Caenorhabditis elegans: one gene and its partners. The main gene of each other region encodes a partner of the protein of the gene in region 3 in a complex. Each region holds a gene or a part of one and is shown on either strand. Other genes may lie near its edges. The genes, in order: crn-5, exos-2 and dis-3.

Region 1 (2,943 bases), on a different chromosome or scaffold from region 3:
TTTTTTCGATTTTCTCTGAAAAAAATTTAGTAAAAAAACTTTAAAAAAAAATTATCTGAAAAAATCACTAAAATCTTTTTTTAATTTTCTCTGAAAAAATAAATAAAAATGAATTTTTTTTCGATTTTCTCTGAAAAAATCAGAAAATAAAACTTCTTTTTTTTCGATTTTCTCAAAAAAAAAATAAATGAAAAAAAATATATTTAAAAATTCCGATGACATCCTTGGTTTTAATAAGATAATTTTCAGCTTCTAAACGTTGATACACTGAAGCTGGTCCCAGATGATCCGAACAAGCCGAAAGATCCAGAACCTTCACCAATGGAAGAATCTTCATCGGAACCTCAAATCTTCGATCCATCTCGTTTTACCGACGACCAGCTACTGTCAAAGAAGGCAATGAAAAGAAAGAGAGATGCTGCTCGACGAAATATAGATGTTTCTGTTGTGCTCGGCGAGTCGTCGAGTAGTTCAGATCCAAAAAAGAAAAAATCTGATGATGATGCTCCCGTTGAAGATTTTGATTATGAAAAAGCTGATAGTAGTGCATTTGGTAAGTTATATTCCTTTGAATTATCCAGACGCGAGATTTAAGGCTAAAAATACGGTACCAGGTCGCGACAACTTGCAAAATGGTGTGCGCCTTTGAAGAGTACTGTAGTTTCAAATTTTCGTTACTGGGAAATTTTCTTCGGTTTTATTTTAGTTTTTTAATAAATAAATTTAAAACTAAAAAAAATTCCGCAGCAACAAAAGTTTGAAATTACAGTACTCTTTAAAGGAGCACACCAGGGCTGGGACAAAAAATATTTTTGAACAAAAAACCAAAATTGAAATTTACGAATTTGCGAAAAACGAACAAAAACCAAAAAAAGTTGATGCTTGAATTTATTTTTCAAAAAAATCGTGAATATGTGAAAATGTATTGGTTTTTCAAAAAATATTTTTGTTGGTCTGAAAAAAAAAACAAAAAAATCAATTTTTCGTCAAAATACAAGAAATATTTCAATTTTTGTTGAATTCCAACAAAAAAACCCAAAAAAAAATCAATGTTATTCGTCGAAGTGCCAATAAAAGCTATTAAAAAACCCAAAAAAAAAAATTCAAAATACCAAAAAAAAACACCAAAAAATCAATTTTTCGTTAAATTCCAAAAAGAACCGCAAATTTGCAAAAAAAAAACGTTTTCTGGCTCAAAATTTGGATAATACCGTACCCAATTATATAGCTCTCAAAAAAGTCTCGAAATCAAATTCCTAATAAATTATTTCCAGAAAAACCTGTTCGAGACAACAACGCCGATTTCGATCCATTCCATCAAAAATATCGATTGAAGAACAAGACAAAGAAGAATATGGCTATGAAAAAATCATCGAATCGACAAGGAACCATCAACTACAAAAAATGATTAAATTGTTACATCCCATCCCATTACCATTGTTATTTTACTTTTTGTTGTTGTGCTTTTTCTTTTGCTTTGAAATTAAAGAAAACTGTTTTTGAAATCTTTTTATTTATTTATTTTTAATTCAATTTGGTTTTCCACCAATTTCAGTTATATTTTCTACAAAATTCATTTTTGTGATTAATTTTGATTTCAGATATCCCCAAATGGCCGGCAGACTTCGTGAAATGCGTTGTGAGCTCTCGTTCCTCAAAAACGCGGATGGCTCGGCATGCTTCTCCCAGGGTGCCACGTGTATTTGGGCTTCATGCAGTGGTCCTGGAGATGTTCACGCTTCGAAAGCAAGTGATGAGGCTATGACTCTGGATATTAGTTATAGAGCAAATTGTGGAGATAACAAGTTCAATGTGGTAGGGGTTTTTGTAGAAATTACTTTTGGAATAATTCTTTTTTCAGCTGAACAATATCATTCATTCTACTCTATCCAATGCAATCAATCTCGAATTGTTTCCCCACACAACAATTTCTGTCACAGTACATGGAATTCAGGATGATGGAAGTATGGGAGCTGTAGCGATAAATGGAGCTTGTTTTGCTCTACTTGACAATGGAATGCCATTCGAGTAAGTTTTTTTAGATACTGTTTTAAAACTGTAATATAATTTTTCAGAACAGTCTTCTGTGGTGTCCTTATTGTTCGTGTCAAAGATGAGCTGATTATTGATCCGACAGCAAAACAAGAAGCTGCATCGACTGGAAGAGTGCTCTTTTCAGTGTGCAAAGGATCCGATGGACATCCAGAAGTGTGTGCGATGGACGCTATAGGACATTGGGATTTTATTCAGCTGGAAGCCGCGTGGTCATTGGCACAACCATCTGCCAGTGCTATTTTTGATTTCTACAAAACTGTGATGAAGAGGAAGCTTTCGGTTGATGAGCAATAGATTATCAATGTTTTGTTGTTGTCGTTGTTGATTTTAATTTTTTATTTAATTTTGAATCCATTGTTTTGTGAGATATTAAAATCTTAAATTTCAAAGTCGAAGTTTTTGTAGAAATGTGACAAGAGAAGGTATTTAGGTATTTAAGAATAGGTTAAGCTTCAGATCCATAATTTGAATATTCGTAGACTCCAGCCGGATCTGAAATAAAAATGGTGAATTTTCAAAATAAGAAAAAAAATCTCACTCAAATGATGTGATCCATTATTCCATCTTCGAACATTTACAACCAGATTGAACACGTGGATGAGTGCAATAATAAAACAAAAAATTGCGACCACCAAAAATCCGAAATCATCAGTCACTTCTTCACTACTAATCGATATTGCCATGGAGATAACATAGCAAATAATTGCAAGAATCGATCCAATACATTCCTAGAAATTCAAATTTCCGTGTAGTTTCACGTGTGCCCCATCGATGCCCGAACTTACAATTGCTGCATACGGTAGCATTCGAATCGCCATTATTGAGATATCGTACTCCTTGAGAAGTACTGCAATTGTGCAAATATCGAAGACGATGGAGCATCCAATT
Region 2 (4,322 bases), 3.7 Mb from region 3:
TTATTAATCCATAATATGATCGAAAGTTATTCACCATCGAGAATTAGAAGTTCGAATTAACTTCACATTGTTTTCTATGAAACGTTCATCCGATCCTCGTTTACCATTCGATCCTTTGTTATATTTTCCCATTTTTACTGTGCCCAACACCTCATATGCATCCTTTTAGGTTAGAAGTCTGCTAATTAGCAGCATAATTTTTGAGCTTTCACTGAATGTCTGTCCCATGCCTGCTCTCTCTTTTCCTTTTTGTTGTTTTCCTCTGGTCAATGTTTCAATTCTTCCTGGTTTTTTTTGAATCACAATAAACACTTTCCAGAAAATCGTCTCGATTCTCACTTGGTGGATTGAAAAGCGGATAGTGTGAATCGAAGTATATTCACTGAAATTGTTCGGTCATTAAGTTAGAATGTGGAGTTCAATTGAAACAATTCCTAGATCAAAAAAATTTCTGTGCGACCTTGGGTTTGCAAAGATTACGGGTCGATCGTTTAATTTCAGGGTATGGACCATTTCTTTCGAAACTTTCAGATTTTGTATCGCAGCTAATATCATCCGAAAAAGTAAAAAGTTTTATTTAATTGAAATGGTAAATAAGAAACTCAACAAGAAATAACAGCAACAAAAAAGGTAAATTTTAAATAGGGAGAGATCATTCAAAACAATTAGAATTACTTCTGCTGTTGAAGTTCCTGTAGAAGCCGTGCAGCAATCAGGTAGGCGAGTCGAGAAGACGTGTCTTGCTCGGCGAGCTCTTTGATCTGAAATTATTTTTCTAATTTTTTAAAACTGAAGAAACAATCGATACTTCATAAGGCTGACTCATTTCATAGCATGTTGTCAGTGAATTGAGGTAGATCGAGATGGAATAATCACGAAGAAGACGAACACAGGCAGCGATTCTGACCATAGTTACGCGTACGTCGGGAGGTACAATCTGAAATTTATTTTATTGCGAAAAAAGCCAAATTTTTTTGTTTTTCTTTTCGATTATGATGATCACGAGTATGATGAATAAATTATAAGGTCTCGTCAATCATTGGAATTATTATAATTTCTCGTTGTTGAGTCACCAAATATGTGCGCTAATTGTTATTTTCGATTCATTTTTCTCAAGAATCACTATCACACCTGAAACTCGTGAACATGTGATCCATCCTCTTCAAGTGTGGTCTCCGGCAACGACGGCGTGACCCACACACTTCCGTTGCAGCCAATAATCACAGCCATTCCGTAGGGTAACGTGTGAAAATGTTTCTTGGACTTTTTGATCAAATGTGGAGGAACCTGCAAAAAAAAGAAATTAATTCCGTGACTTCCCACTCATTTTGTGGATTTTTTTGTCGCTTTATTTATTTTGGCAGCATAAACAAAAAAGAAATATTGCTTTGAACGAGATGTCGCATAAGAATGAGAAAACTCAACACTTTGAAAAGGCGGAGGATATTCGTACAAAAGTGCTCGATTCAATGATCTACCGACTCGATGAACGTGCAAATATGGTTATCACGGAGGTTAGCTTTTCATTAATTTTTTTTGAAATAGAAAATTATTATTAAAGAGCCCAATTCCCGAATGGCGTGCTTATACACAATGGATTCTCATTGCTGCGTTGCTTGTAATTTTTTGTATTCTTCGTTATGGCGTCGAGACTGTTGAACTGCATCCAACTGCAAAGAAGGATCAAGATCCTGTGATTGAGTACAGAGATCGAGAATTGAATAAAACTTCTGAGGCTTTTAGAGCAAGACGCCGTACGTGAGCTAATTGGAATCAATTGGATGATGAATTTAAAGAAATATAACAACTTTCCGAACTATTATTTAAAAATTTATAATTGCGTTTTCTTAAGATTTTATAAAATATTACCTTAATCAATATTCCTTGTTGCAATTTTCCGTACTTATTATTTCTTGTGTGTAGCATAAGTGTTCCGTCGTGCTGGACTTGTTGGACTTCTGCACAGATCAGTTCTCCGTTTTTCAAGAATTCGCTCATTTTCTCCTCATCTTCTACATCTTTTCTGCGAAAGTCTCCTCCTGGCAGGAGAACTGAACCTAGTGGAAGATTTGCATGAAGACGAGATGCCACATCACACTGAAAAACAATTATCGTTATATTTTTCACTTAAAAATTTGAAACCTTCCACCGTTTTGCTTGAACCTCCACGACACGGGCAACTACAACATCTCCGACTTCACCAGCATATCGTTGTTTAATAGTTTTAACCATCAACAGTCGATTTAATTGTTGAACGACTCCAGAGAGAGAACTGACGATTTCTCCGTCGCGAACGTAAGTTCCATGTCCTCTGAAAATCTTAATTTTTTCATTTTTCAAAAAGATATAACAGTATTTTACAATATACATACCTCATAAACTGTTGCGGTGCATCACAAACTGAATGTCCTGGAATAACAATTTTTGTCTCATCAATATCATTTCTTGCTTCGGACATTGATAACATCATCCATGGTGATACGAGGGGTGGACCGGTGACTTCGAAACTCATTTTTTAAATTTTTTTTGTCTGCAAATAACCAAATTTAAATAAACTTAAATTAAACAAAGAAACTGAAAAAAGCTTTCATTCGAAATGAAAATAAAAATAATTATTTCCAACGACACTCCGAAATGACGGAAAGCGTGCTGTTTATCGTAAACCCACACGTCACTCAATTGGCGCCTATTCAAATGTTGATTTTCGACCATAAAAGTGCGAGCCAATTGAGCGTGCAAATTTAATTGTTTCTGCTAAACCAATGACGATGAAAACCCGAAATTGAAATAAAAATAAGGTTCGACACGAAGCCATTGTCTGACTTTTTATAAAGGTGTCATTGGAAGGAAGTGTGAGTTGAATGGGACACCTATAATTTCGACTTGCATGCGAACGGGAAAAATACAACAAAAGAGGATACGTAGAAATATATTGGAGAAAAACTGAGTATTTAAAACAGAAGTAAAAATCGTAAAGGAAAAATTTTCAAAACTTTGGTGGTTTATTGTGCGATTTTTAAATATTTCCTAGATTCCGATTTTGCGGGTTTATGTACTCTTTTTTATTTAGGTTGACTGTAAAAGTATTCTTCTCCATCTAAAAATTAAAAAAAAAACATTTTCAGACGGTAGACGGTCATGTGGAACTCTTAGAAAAAAGTTTTGAAATTTTGAAAAAATTGAAAAAAAATCAATGTTTCTGAAAAAACATTTATAAAGTTACCATTTTCTGATTAACAATGTTCGAATTTTCGAATTGGTATTTCTTATTTTGATTGAGAGTTTTATGAGAAGTATTGAAACATATTTTTGATATTATTCTTAAATTTCGTTAAAAGTTATTAAAAATGCATATGTACCCGGAATATTGTAATTGAGCCAGTATTTGAACAACTTCTCAAGAACTTCAACTAAACATTCGGTTAATTTCAGGAAAATCAATATTATTTCTTCTGTTCTATTCATATTTCAGATTGAAATCTTTCACAGAACAGTGCAAATTTCCTAAAAAGAATGTGTCGCAAAAGAAAGGTCCACATATTTTTCTAGCAGTTGTACACTTGCTCCATATTCGAAGCTCATTTTTTATTTTTTGTTTTATATCAAAAATTGTTAACTGACAACTAATTGACTATTTACTTTTCTAAAATTTCCCATAAAAATAGTAGTAGGAGTCTTACAAAAGCTCCCAGAAAAATTTGTAAAAAATCGAAAAAAAAAAACACTGTTTCTGATACACTATTTACAAAATTGTGGTTCATCGAAAACAATGTTTTCAAAATATTGTATCTAATACATCGAGGCATTGATTAATTTTAGAAGTTATAACTTGGTTGTCTTTAAATTTTTGAACAACTGTCAACTGGCAACTTATTGATTATTTAATTTTCTAAAATTTATCAATTTTACAGTTTGTAAACTGTTTTGAATGAATTGAGATATGAGCTGTTAAAGTATGATAGTCAGGTGCAAGTACTTATTTATTTTGTCATTTCATTTTTTCGTAGTTTTAAAATCGCTAACCAATGTCTAGAAAACTTTATACAAAATTATCCATAATTTGCATTATCAGAGCCCTTAATTTCCCACAAAAATTCGGCGAAAAATGTGGGTGGACGGACGGGTGTTTTTCGATGACAAATGGACAGATCAAAAGCTTTCATTAATTATTTGAATATACTTCTTTTCACTCATCTTCCGTCATTTTCACACGCCTACCGTACTCCTCCATTGACTTCGCAAATCGCGGCGAATTTGAAATTAATATTTTAAAGAAATTTCTTACAGAATCTTTTATATTTTTTTGCGTTGATTCCAAGATC
Region 3 (4,839 bases):
CGCAAGCGCGCTCTAATGAGAGATTACTGTAATAATCTAAATGAAAATCAGTTTCTAGGTCGCTCTGTTGTATAAAATATATTTCTTCTTTGAATTTGAATATAACTTTTTTTTTTGTAATATTTTTTAAATTTTAAACCTTTGGTGTTCTGGACTCCCAATCCATATCAAAGCGAACTTCACTCGATGCCAACGTCAATGCTCCATTTCCAGTTCTTCTCGCATTCAAAACTTTCGACAATTTCATCAATCCACGTAATCCCAATGCCACGTCATTCTGCTCTTTTGGATCGTCAATAATCTCTTGTGCCTTCTCATAAGTCAATGCAGCTTTTGATTTAATTAGAGATTTGTGATATTTAACTGATTGTATATCAGCACTAGAAGTCATTGTCCAAATACACGAAAATGCATAACGCTCTTCTTCTCCGCGAAGTGAGCACAAATTGGAACTGAGCAGACATGGAAGCATATCGATACGACGATCACAAAGGTATACTGTAGTTCCACGTAATGCTGCTTCATCGTCGATTGCGGTTCCTAAACGTAGGAAATTTTGGTTCTTTTTTTGAAAATAAATGAGGTTTTATTCGAACCTCAAAGGACAAACATTTTTTTTAGTAAAACTTGAATTTTTAAATAATTTCAGTATATTTACCTGGTCTAACAAAATGCGTGACATCTGCAATATGAACTCCAACTTCGAAAAGATCCTCTCCAATTTGTTTACAGTGTAATGCGTCGTCAATATCTGTACATCCAAGTGGATCAACTGAACAAATTGTTAAATCTCTCAAATCAACACGTGGTAGAGGGCCGCGGTTTTCAGTGAGATCTGGTTCCCATTCTTCACGTGGTAGACAATCAAGAACAGATTCTGAGAATGGAGCATGTGGAATATCATGTTCGAGAAGGAGAACCTCATTTTCAGTTTCACGGGATCCCATCTCTCCGATTGATCTGAAAACAACAGTCATTCCGTTAAAATATTTCAAGATTTTCTGAAATTTCACATACCTGACGTAATGTCCAAGTGGATACTTGGAATCTCTTGGCCAGTGATCAATAGCCACCACAATTCTCTGCTGTGATAAAGTTTCAGCCTGTTCCGTCTCGATTCGAATTCTTGGAATAAGTCGTTCAGCTGGACAGAACAAGTGTCTTCTGGCTCCTTTCACTGTACTTGGCAGCAACATTCCACAATATTCACGCCAATTTCTTTTGATAATTCCAACAACTTTTGCAGTTGAAACAGTCATTTTCTTCGACTTTTTAGCTTTTGGCTCATCGTTCTCGTCATCATTCTCCTCGTCTTCATTTCCCATGTCATCTGCAGTTTTAACATATTCTTCAACGTCACGGAGTCGAATTTTCTTCTCTGGAGCAGTCCATTGGTCTTCTGGCAAAAGTTGAACTGCGACGGTATCTCCATTGACGGCACGATTGCAATTATTTCCTAAAATTCGAAATAAAAATTTTATTATTCAGAGAATTGGAATTTTTGGAAAAATTTCACCTTTTTTAAAAATATAATTTCAGAGTTGTTTCGCTCAAAATGACCGAAAACCACCTAATTTCGTTATAAAAAAGTTTTTTTAAAATTCTCAGCAAAAAGTAATGACTTGTGTGAAAAATTTGGTTGGTTTTCGAAAATAAATATTTCAACTAAATTCAAGCACCTGTGATGAACCAAGATGTTAACTGATCATCAATAATAACAGTAGCTTCGCGATAATTTTCTCTTGAAACACTGAAATTTCCTCTTTTGATCGTTCCACTGGCAATTCCCTCCATAATTCTATCATGCGATAGATATTCATCGAAAATTTGTTTCTCATTTCCATTTCCAGAGCTTTCATACGCAGCCATTTGATCCAAAAGTGCTTGTTTTCCTGGATCCTCCAAATTTTGTATGTATTCCTGAAAATTTGGAGATTTTTTCTTTTTCTACGGGGTTACTGGATCATTTTTCAAACTTTATTGTACTTTATTATACAATTTTTGATTAAGGATCATGATTTTTAGTTGAATAAAAGTTTAGTTACGGCGAAAATATGTTAAAGAGGTGTATATTTTAGGGTTTTTGGCTGAAATAGTCTGAAACTAGCTCGGAACGACAGAATTTCATTATGAGTCTTAAGAAATCAAAAATTTTCTTTTAACAAAATTTGGCTCTTTTTCGAAATTTCGCCAGTTTCAGAAAAGATCCACAGAGTTTTGAACTTTTCGACTATTAACCTTTAAATACATCACGTGTTGGTAGTGATTTTCCATTCTTTTTTTCGAATCTTCATCAAAAACTAAGACAACAGGAGCCACGTTATGCTTCTGCCAATGAGTTTTCAAGTAAAGAGCTGTTGAAAGTAGAAGCTCTTCGCCACGACTCAAATCCTCAAATTTCGATGATTCGGAGAAGGTCTCGCAGTGAAATTCGTTCATGAACACGTGAAATCTGTCTTTCGCATCTTCATAACACAAAGAATTCATTTTCTTGTAGGCTGGTACAGCTTTTGCTTTGACTCCTTCCCATACAGTCTGGGTTACGATGAGATCTCTGAAAATTAAATATAATTTATTATTTTACAGAGTTTTTAATTGAAACTAGATGTTTGTTACAATCCCGACAACTTCTAAAAACTGAATTTGGAGCAACAAATTAAGAATTTAATAATTGGACAGTAGAACCATCTACATTTAAATGATTCCGCTGTAATTTTAATTCATTACCTCAATAAAGACGAATCAAACAAATCGTAGAATCTGATTAATGATGTGGAATCCACAATCAGCGCGTGCCTTCCAACTTTCGCATTTCTTACGGGATTTTCAATTTTTAACAGCGGATTTGTGCCGAAATCCTTGCAGGTTCCACATTGAGCAAGTCCACATGAAAGATCATTTCGTAGATATCTTTCTTCGGCTCTCTGCAAAATTTTAATTGGGTTAGGTGATTTCGGAGAGGTTTTCTCACTTTATAGACTTTCCCCGAGCGATTTTGGAAGTAAGTCGTGTGCAAAGCGACGGAATGAATTCCACTTTGTTTGACGTTCAAATCCATACCTTCAAATAATGAAAATACGTGTGAAAAACAAATAAAATCGCACGAATCAGGTGAAAAATGAAGGAAAAACTATTTTATTCGAAGAAAAACTCAGTGTACATTTACGGTGAACAACACGCGCGAGTGGAACATCGGAGTGTCGTAGGCACTACGAAAACGAACACTTCGAACAACACTGCCATCGCAGCTGCGAGGAAAAATGAAATGAAAAGGAAGAATATATCTAAATAGAGTATGGCTAAAATCATGAAAACGGAAGTTTAAACATCTAAAATAGATAATCGGGTAGGAAACATGATTATCTAGGGCCTCATAACCTTAAAAAATAATGCTCAAAACGTTTTTAGATTTTTGAAAATTTTTCAGTCATAGATTTGGTAAATTGCCAAACTTTTTTGTCTTACAAAATTTAATGCGGATGAAACTAAATAATCGCCACTTTTTGATTTTTTTTCATGTATGTAGACACAGCACTGTCCTCAAGGATGAAATCTGACCAGACTTTAAAATGTTAAATTTGTCAAGATGCAAAATATTTATTGTTTTAATGTTAATTTTTGGAAGCAATAAGAACAATAAAAACATTAAGCGAAATATAGAATCTCATTATTGAAAAAAAACGGGTAAGAACATGATAATGAAATACATATCTCGATGGACTTCCATAAGATGTTTAAGAATCGGTTACTGTAGAATTTGGAGTTGAAGAATTGGTTCTACCCAGATAAATTGAAATGTCTTCAGATCCATTAAACTTTGTATGTGATCTTGATCTTCTTCGTTCCCGTATTCTAAAATTAAAATACCTCCAATTTGGATATTTTTCTTCATTATATAATTTTTATCGAAAATTCGAAAATTTACTAAACCCAGCATAGAATTCAATACCAAGGCTTTCATCTAGAGAAAATTTGAATTCGGAATTTCAAATAGAAAAATACATAGCAGAGCTGAGACATTATATACCAGGGATCTTTCCTTTTTCGAAAATTCGAAAATTTACTCGAACCAATCAATAAAGTATTTTTCTCTCATATCAGCAAAAAAAGTTGTGATCGGTTCACTTGTTAATTTCTTTGATTTGTAAGAAAAATACACCCTCCTCGACCTTTACGGAGCAAAACAGCTTTCAGGTTTTGGAGAGATGGGCTGGGTTAGTAGTATGGTTGGGTAGTCTTCTGAACTGAATGACTACTGGAAGATTAAGGTAGGATTACTATAGTTCCAAACGATTTACAATAAATCCCGGATGCTTATGTTAAGGGCATCGATGGAACACAAAACTTGTTCGCTTGAGTATTAATATATATTCAATTTGCAGATTAAAACAGAAAAACAGAACATATACTTGAAAAAAGTTTATTGTTAAGAAACCCAGTTCACACATCCTATGGATTGTACTCGATTGGAAGGTTCTTGCGACGAACCATACCGTCTCCCTGGAACCATTCACGACGGAATTGCTTGGCAGCTCCATCCGGGGTGTTGGTCCACTCAACAGTGATACGGTCGTTGTTGGTATCCTCTTGTCCGAAGGCGAAAGCATCGCAGGAAACAGCAAGAAGCACAGCTTCCTTTGGATCGAGAACTCCACATGGTGGATCAACTCCAAGTCTCTTCATATTGGTGGTCTTGATACCATATCCAATACGACGAGCCGATGAGTTGATCACCTTGATGTGATAGGTGTGCTTGTCATCGTATGGAGCATTAAAGACGATCTTCGCGTTTGGTTGGGTTTGGATGTCTCCTGGTGGGACGGATTGGGCCATGGTCGT

What was found.
Region 1: dis-3 (region 3) and crn-5 share a complex: the UniProt entries of both Caenorhabditis elegans proteins name them as parts of the RNA exosome complex.
Region 2: dis-3 (region 3) and exos-2 share a complex: the UniProt entries of both Caenorhabditis elegans proteins name them as parts of the RNA exosome complex.

What each region holds. Positions count from the first base shown.
Region 1 is NC_003280.10:10,591,151-10,594,093, forward strand, and holds crn-5 (Exosome complex component RRP46 homolog), read left to right. Parts: upstream 1-1,601; 5' UTR 1,602-1,611; coding exon 1,612-1,815; intron 1,816-1,861; coding exon 1,862-2,028; intron 2,029-2,075; coding exon 2,076-2,349; 3' UTR 2,350-2,441; downstream 2,442-2,943. Other genes in the region: crn-3 (Exosome complex component 10 homolog), read left to right, coding at 250-553, 1,275-1,408; C14A4.6 (MARVEL domain-containing protein), read right to left, coding at 2,501-2,547, 2,594-2,783, 2,841-2,943. UniProt on the Caenorhabditis elegans protein: Non-catalytic component of the RNA exosome complex which has 3'->5' exoribonuclease activity and participates in a multitude of cellular RNA processing and degradation events. Involved in apoptotic DNA degradation.
Region 2 is NC_003282.8:6,413,693-6,418,014, reverse strand, and holds exos-2 (Exosome complex component RRP4 homolog), read right to left. Parts: upstream 2,538-4,322; 5' UTR 2,513-2,537; coding exon 2,373-2,512; intron 2,312-2,372; coding exon 2,143-2,311; intron 2,098-2,142; coding exon 1,870-2,097; exon of another isoform or gene 1,763-1,869; coding exon of another isoform or gene 1,562-1,762; intron 1,515-1,561; coding exon of another isoform or gene 1,398-1,514; exon of another isoform or gene 1,362-1,397; intron 1,288-1,361; coding exon 1,132-1,287; intron 938-1,131; coding exon 809-937; intron 762-808; coding exon 672-761; 3' UTR 555-671; downstream 1-554. Other genes in the region: Y73B6BL.22 (Nitrogen regulatory IIA protein), read left to right, coding at 1,398-1,514, 1,562-1,762. UniProt on the Caenorhabditis elegans protein: Non-catalytic component of the RNA exosome complex which has 3'->5' exoribonuclease activity and participates in a multitude of cellular RNA processing and degradation events. Involved in regulation of antisense ribosomal siRNA production.
Region 3 is NC_003282.8:10,095,427-10,100,265, reverse strand, and holds the start of dis-3 (putative exosome complex exonuclease RRP44), read right to left. Parts: upstream 3,065-4,839; 5' UTR 3,059-3,064; coding exon 2,972-3,058; intron 2,925-2,971; coding exon 2,728-2,924; intron 2,555-2,727; coding exon 2,239-2,554; intron 1,921-2,238; coding exon 1,680-1,920; intron 1,457-1,679; coding exon 1,018-1,456; intron 961-1,017; coding exon 659-960; intron 541-658; coding exon 140-540; intron 1-139. Other genes in the region: msp-36 (Major sperm protein 10/36/56/76), read right to left, coding at 4,450-4,833. UniProt on the Caenorhabditis elegans protein: Putative catalytic component of the RNA exosome complex which has 3'->5' exoribonuclease activity and participates in a multitude of cellular RNA processing and degradation events. Has both 3'-5' exonuclease and endonuclease activities.